2 linked regions of the Caenorhabditis elegans genome follow. The protein of the gene in region 2 interacts with the protein of the main gene of each other region in a pairwise test. Each region holds a gene or a part of one and is shown on either strand. Other genes may lie near its edges. The genes, in order: T06C10.3 and npr-21.

Region 1 (3,925 bases), on a different chromosome or scaffold from region 2:
CTACCTGCACCAGAACAAAACTTGATTTTCTCCACAATTGAAACAGCTCCTTTCTCCTTCTTCATATGATCTTGCAAAGATCCACCTTTCACCAATTCCAGCAGAATGTAGAGCGGCTGTTCGTGATGCGCAACTCCATACAAACGAACGACATTTTTGTGATTGAAGTTTCGAATAAATCTCGCTTCATTCATCATTTCCTTGATCTTCATTTTGCTGAGGAATGCCGACACTTTTGTCATTTTAATCGCAACATCAACATTCGTTCCATCTTTAAGCTTCAAAGTTCCAGAGCAAACTTTTCCGAATGCTCCTTCTCCGAGAACTTTTCCAACTGTTACGTCCGAATGCATAAATTCCCATGATTGCTGAAGAATTGGATGTTTTAATTGAAATGTTCCAGATGCACATCCTCCAGGGTTCTTTGTGTAGTAAGTGACAAGATCCGAAATTGACTCAAAGGTTCGAGTAATCTCACAGAAGAATAAGTTTGTTACACGTTTTATGACAACGTTGCGGACCTGAAATAGTGGCAATGTACATCGATATTTTATGATGACGCTTCCATGCCTACGCCTACCTACTACAGTCATTTGCGCGCGTTACCTCTTATAAAGTACTACATCGGCGCCCTCAGTCAGATCAGGTAGGAAATATAGGCAGCATTCAGGCCTGAATCAATCTCCTCACCTTCTTCCTATCCTCCTCGTCTTTTGATACCGTGGACACTGGAATGAGTGATAGAATCACTTCCCGATTGACTTTGTGCTCTCCTTCCACAACTTCAGAAACTCGAAGAAGGAAATCGCCTGGATTGTGCAAAGTTGTGTGAAGATCCTCTCGAGGCAAAAAGCCGTGGTAGAAATTGAACTCGCGAAGCTTTTTCTCCAAGATTGAAAAGTCTTCCTTTTCAGGGACAATTGATAGTTTCTCAACAGAAGCCGAAACAATGAGATTAGACTTTTTTTTCTTCTTCTTCTTTGGTTTCTCTTCGGGAGCTTTCAATTCTTGACTATTGTCCGTATTCTGCGTGGACTGAAAAAAAAACAGTTAATTCGTAATTCCAACAGTTACTTCGCAATGTGCGCACAATGGATCGAGAGCCGAACACAATGTGCATATTGCGGAAACGATCATCGCAAATTAACTGTGAAGTGGCTTTAAGCTCTTACCTCGACCTTTGCCTTCACTTTTCCCTCCACCTTCGCCTCTACCGACTTCTCAATTTCTTTCTTCTCTTCTACCTCCTTCTTGTCATCCTCTTTTTCTTGCTTTGCTGGCTCTTTGCTAAAAACCAAACTATCGAAATTCATTTATTTTCTGAAAATCTCAAACCTTGGAGAGGAAGCAGCATTCATCGCTGGAGCACTTTGAGTAGGAATGGAATTTGAAGATGAACTAGATGTACTGCTTCTGAAAAAGAAAGATTGAAATTTCAGCTGATACCCAAAACTAGACTCACTTTGAATTATTCGAATAGACCGATGACTGCATGTACACGGATCTTGTAAACAGCTCGTTTGATCCCATTTTGCAATGTTTTCCTTCTGAAAATCAAATGAATTAAGAAGCCTGAAAATTTGAAACTTGCGTACCTTTTGTGATAGAAATAATTTTCCAAATTTAATTGGAAAAGAAGTTGTGAGAACAATTCGAAATAATCAAAAATCGATTGATTTTATAGATTTTCGATGTTTGTTTTTTCCAAGTTGTTTTTTTGCGTTCTCATTTCGGGTTCACGTTTTTTTTTGTTTTTGGATTTTTAAAACCAAATGCTGATGTTTTTTATCACTTGGCTCAAAATGTCCTTATAAAAAATGTTACTTTAATCGTCAGGACTGCCACCTCCTTTTTTATTTAGAGTACACACAACCCCCTGAAGAATTACTGTAGTAATCACAAATCTACACAAAAAAATCTTAAAATTTGTCTCTCTTATTTGATTATATAAAGGACGAAGTTTGGGGTTTCATATGCAGTTTAATAAAAAAGTCTTAAATTAAATTCAGTTGGTAATTTCGGCGGTCGCCAAAATTATGACTAGTTCGTTCTTGTACTGATTGAGTAGTTTTCTTGGAGCTTTAATGTTTAACAGATCTCTACTAAAGTTGTAAACGTCAATTAGTAGATTTTAGTGATTAATAATAACGTAATAATGTAATAACTGGGAAGAAATAAACACAAAGTCATAATAGAAGCAGATTCTTTCATCCATATTCACAATACCCTGATTCACGAACTCGGAAATGTTCTATTGAAATAGAGAACTCAAAGTCTTGAGCATAATAATTTTTATGATATTAAATATAAAAATACAACAAATCGTTTTATTCGCTGTGTATTTTGAAACTGAAAATACTGGAATGCGACAATCAAACAAAAAAGCATTGGGATGTGTTCGGGGGTCGATGGGTGGAGAAGAATTCAAGAGAAATAAAAGACGAAAAAGAGAAGCAATTGTAAAATTAAATGAATATAATTTATTTGGTGACATTTTAGTTAAAAGCGCTTCGAGATCAAATCTTCGTTATTAGAAATATGAAACGAATATTTTTCAGGTCAAGAAATTTGATGAAACGAAAACTTGACGACTGGTGGGGATGGTTGAGAAGAAGGAATTAATTGTTCAGTGTTCAATAATTGTTGGATTACTGTAACATGAGAATGAGAGACTAGACGAGACGCAGAGAAAGAAAGGGCGCATGATGACGTGGATTTTGTTGAAGATGATGAAGAAGATGATGAAAGAGATGTCGGAATGCCGGATTCAAATGAGAAGTTGGTCGAGATACAAAAGTTCTGCATTTGGATCGACTCTTCGTTTTCCGAATCGAATGTATCCAGAGCGTGCCTTTGGTTGACGCTTCTCCGATGCGACTTGACGACGAGCACGGGAAGCTGGAAATGGATTATTAAGATAGTTTTTACTCTGATCAATCCACTTTGATTGACAGTTTTCGGTTTTATTTTGTTTCTCTTTGACGCTGGGAAAACTCAAACTACAGAATATTATTCTGTGAGATCGCCTAAAAACAACAAAATCAGTTGTTTGCCAGTTGCAAAACTTGTAACAAACAAATCTGTGTATTTTACCCAAAATAGCTCGGTTTTTTATAATGACTAAGCCAGCTTGTTAAAAATTTTTCGAAAAAAATCTGATGAAATTGGAAGTTATTTAGTAAAGGAGAACTAACGATATTATGAAGGCATACTCAAAATGTTTTCAAGTGAACGAATTTCGTAGTGAAAATTCTCATATGCCCAAAAAAACCAGTAAATTTTTCTCATGGTTAAAAAACGCAACTTTCAATATTTCAGATTCTTACATGATTTTACTTTGACTCATTTACCGAAAACTGAGTGTATACTAGAAATACAGTTAAAAAGCTTACCATCGCTGATAGGAACAGCAAAAACAGCGGCCAAGCAGAGAACAAAAAAGACGAAAACGATGGAGAGTTGCATCCTTTGCTGTATGAGTTGATTGCCTAGAAAAGTGTCCATGATTCGAGAATAAGAAAAGATTTAGGCGTATAATTAGTGAGATGGGTGAATTCATGGTAAGGTCATGAGAATGAGGAAAGAGGAAAGAAAATGAGAAAATGTTGAAACGAAAGTAGGTACTCTAGTCTCTGAAGAAATGTTAATAATATCAAAAATTCAGCGTGCTTCTTGGTGGTCTTCTTTCATCTTTCACTCCTTCTTCATCACATCATCTTCGGGTCTTTTTTGATCACGTACTTTTGATGACGTGGCAAATTGAATTGTTCTGGTAATGTCTAACAAGGAAAAGGAATAATTGAACACTTCTCTCTACTCATTTCAAAAACAAACTGACCTTTATTATCGGTCATAAACGTTAATTGGATAAGAAAAGTGGAAAAAGAGAAAGGTGAGAGTAAAAGTGAGATCTGAAGAGGAGGTT
Region 2 (3,925 bases):
TTTCAAGCTAAATATCAAATGCTGCCCTATACCAAACTTTTGAATAATTCAACAAATTTCAATAACTTTTGGTTTTACCATATGGCTAAGTGTCATCTCTCAGAACTAAACGTTTGAGAAAAAGTGGTTCGACTTGGCACAAACAAACTGTGAACACATGTTCTGAATCTTTAAACAAACCTTTCTCCTCTTCTCCACTGACACACCGCCGGTTGAGGCTTCGGATCGCCAGCTTGATCTTGGCAAAAGCTTGTTGGCGGAGTGTTTCGTGATTGTTGCGGCCTTGCTCACCACGAGGCCGATGGTAGCGTAGATGCAAAGAAGGATTACTAGAGGGACGGCGTACCTGAAAAATTTTAAAAGTCAAAACAAAATATATATAGAGTTGACGAACGCACCAGACGATGAAGTTGATAGTGGCGACTAGCTTCAGGAGGTTGAATCCATAAATTTCCACATGACGTCTAGTGCAGATCTGGAAAAATCTTTATTTCGAGAAAAGGAACTTCTTGAACTAATTTGGTAATACTTCAACTAACAAAAGATCTTTAGAAAATTCTTTTAGAAAAAAAACAATGGCAAAGTTTGCATATTTAGCCATATTGTATCCAAGCGGTTTTAGAATTTTTTTTAAATAATAGTTTTTAGCCTGAATTTTTTCATACTCGGCTGTGGTTAACCTGTATGCAGGCAGGTAGGTGAAGTTACTTACTGTGTATGTCTCATTCCCGTCTGATATCTCTAAAAACTGGCTAGCCACTACATATGGGGTGTTCATAACTGCGCTAGCTGAAATTTAAGAAAACATTTCATTTCCACATTTCTTTTTAAGTCAGCTTACTTAGCCAAACAACAGCTGACGATGTGATGAGCACTTTTTGTGAAAATGCTCTTCGCACCCGCAATGGACGGAGCACCGCAATCAATCTTTCAACCGAGACCAGCACCTGAATATCAAAATGTTGCTTTTCAAAGATTCCCTACGTCATGATTGCCTACCAGAATTCCAGCCGACACATTTGGTATGAAGTGTAGTACGTAGATGTATGAATAACATAACACTTTGCCAAACGGCCACCGTCCATGTCCTTGGAATACAAAATTCACAGCGTTCTGGAGAACGCAGAAGATTCCGACAAAAAGGTCGGCAACCTAGAAATAGATTATTTTCAGAATAGGAGGTGAGTTTTGGAGGAGAGTTACCGTCAGATTTGCCAGAAAGAAGTTGGGCACACTTCGGACTCGTTTCTGCGAGAAGAAGACCAGCAGAATGATAAGATTTCCTGAAAGAATTTATGTTATAGCTTGATGGTAATTTTGTTCAAATTTGCCCATAGCTTAATTTCCTTTTTTAAAATAAATTGTTCAAGTTCTAATAGTTTGTCCTCTACCACTTACTATTAACTACGTACTTCTACCATATAATTTGAACCTAAATGTCGATTATCAGTTTAGTTTCACCAATTATTGCTCACTTCAATGTAATCTAATTATAGCCTACTGTTGATTCTGTCTTCTGATATATTGTCATCTGATATTGGATAACAAATCAAAAATGAATGTCATTGTTTGCTTGGTTGTGTGTTTGCCTAGCTACGAAAACCGTCCTAATGAGAAAATCAAATGAAATTTTGTCGCATTCACGAGTCTGAGTTAGAAGAAATTAGAAAAAAAAACAATTCGATTGTGAAGAAAAGGTGTGAAGCAGAAAATGATCTCTGGGTATGCCGGAGCATGCTTTAGGTTTAGAATGAATTTTGAAAGTGAACATCGAAAAACTTCGAAAAAAAACCATTAATATCTGCAATATTTAATATAATCATTGCAAAATATTTTCAGATATTAAAAATATGAACAAAGATCCTTGGCATACCGATTATAGTGGCCAGAAAGACAAAAAGGTAGGATACACAGAGCAAAAAGTGTACCACAGGATGATTAAGTGGGGAGTCGCTTTCCATTCGTTCTGAAAATATTCTGGTGAAAAAACATTGTAACAGTTTCTAAAAACGTAGAGCAGGTGAAAAGTTTTAAGTGTAAAGTTCGAATTCCAACCACACAAACAGAAATAACACTTTGAGAATAATTGAAAAATGTTGTGACGCAGGGGAGGAGCTAGAGCAACGAAAAAGAAGAATGAAAACGATACTGGATTTTCGGCCCTAAGATTTCAATGAATGATTAAAGATGTGAATGAGATGAAAAAAACGAGAATGAAATGAAAAAAGTTGCAAGACGAGACGGGCAGTTCAAAGAAGAACGCTTGAAGTGTTGTGAAAAGTTCACGAAACACATCTTCTTTTTGCCGTCTAATTTCCTCTTTTACTTTCCAAGTAAAGAAATTCGGGGGAATTCGGAAAAGAATTCGGAGAGAAAAGGAAGTCGGGAAGACACATAGATCAAGTGAATTTTTAAAAAAGCTCAAAGTATCCTAGGTTGACACCCACCACATCATTCTATGAATAGAAGAGCAGGTGGAAATGTTTCAGGGAATAGGAGGAAGAAGTTACGATGTCGTTCAGAGTTGACGATATGCACATAAAGTAGGCGGATGTCGAAAGGTGGAACTCAAAGATCGGAAGTGTACAAAAAGTCAAAAGTGAATAAGCTTTAAAGATAAAACTTGAAGTTGAATGCCAGCGGGATTTTGAAAAGGTTAGTCACCGTAAAATTAATAGTAACTTTCACACTTCATCGAAAAGTTATTTTTCGAATATAACAGGTACTCAAGTTGTAAATCGCGGACTTCCATCGGTGTCGGCTGCGCATTTAGCATAAAACCACACCCACGCAGGTTTACCCCCCAACTGTTGGTTATCTGAGAACATAGATTTAGCTACAAAGGATCACAGGGAATTGTCTGTTCAAGTTCAAATTTTCAAACTCAACCCAACAAAAGTGTTGAATGCTCAATTTTCACAAATTTGAACACATCCATTTTCGGAGTCAATTGCTCAGAAAATTTCTAAGTAATGATGCAACACGGTCCGACAACTACCGTGTTCCGCGCGGCGATGTTGAGAGCAACGCGAAACCTGGGAGTTGTTGGACTCAGACACGTTCGCATTTTTGGAAAATTCAGAGTACCAGAGCGAACATTTTAAACTAAAAGATACTATCCTTGAGCTCAAAGAAAATCTAAGAATTTAAGAAAAAAATTTTAATGAGGGCATTTTCCAAATTTACATATTTGCAAGTCAAACCAAATGGGAGAAAATTACAAGAAAAAAAAATAATATCACAAATTCAAAAAATTTCAAAATCTACAAAGAAAAATTGTTTTCTTCCAGCTCAAATCGCATAAATAATGACGTGAATTTCTATCCCAATTTTGCCAGTCATTACTAACCATTAGACACTTAATACGTGTGAGAACGCGCGCAAAAATGTTCATTTTCACGGGAATTGTTTTCTTGGAAATTTGTAAATCATTAAATGTGAATTTGAAATTTTAAACTAAATGTTTAATGTCGGAAAAATGTTTTTTTCGCAAATGATTAAAAAATTTATTTCGAAATTTTTGAATCAGGCTAGATGCTATGAACAGCCATTATCCTTTTGATTTATGATAAATTCTCAAAAAATCACACTCCAAAATATGAGAACTTTCGAAAAAAAATGGAGACGTGAATGAATTAGCACCTCCTGTTTTTGCCGAGCGTCTGCCTACAAAACCTGGCTTCTTCTTCCCGGTTGTCTAAGAATACCGAGTAATATATTTTGCTTTTCCGATGCTCAATTCAGTATGAATTCTATTACATCTACAACTCAGACATATTTCTGAAAACAAATTGTGGTTTGCAAAAGTAGGGAGCACGAAACTTTGAGCGAGTGCAATAATTGCCACTTCTTGGAAAAGACGGAGAACAAACTCACGGCTAATAGCAACAACAAATATGAATAATCAAATGAGAGAGTGAGATGA

The links.
Region 1: the proteins of npr-21 (region 2) and T06C10.3 interact in a two-hybrid assay, tested with the Caenorhabditis elegans proteins (one large-scale study listed by BioGRID).

Annotation. Positions count from the first base shown.
Region 1 is NC_003282.8:7,868,470-7,872,394, reverse strand, and holds the start of T06C10.3 (Tyrosine-protein kinase), read right to left. Parts: upstream 1,645-3,925; 5' UTR 1,596-1,644; intron 1,548-1,595; 5' UTR 1,531-1,547; coding exon 1,463-1,530; intron 1,414-1,462; coding exon 1,336-1,413; intron 1,288-1,335; coding exon 1,173-1,287; intron 1,036-1,172; coding exon 691-1,035; intron 522-690; coding exon 1-521. Other genes in the region: flp-10 (FMRF-Like Peptide), read right to left, coding at 2,768-2,898, 3,393-3,465.
Region 2 is NC_003284.9:17,155,997-17,159,921, forward strand, and holds the start of npr-21 (G-protein coupled receptors family 1 profile domain-containing protein), read right to left. Parts: upstream 1,973-3,925; 5' UTR 1,962-1,972; coding exon 1,874-1,961; intron 1,284-1,873; coding exon 1,204-1,283; intron 1,153-1,203; coding exon 1,000-1,152; intron 948-999; coding exon 842-947; intron 790-841; coding exon 713-789; intron 476-712; coding exon 399-475; intron 347-398; coding exon 181-346; intron 1-180.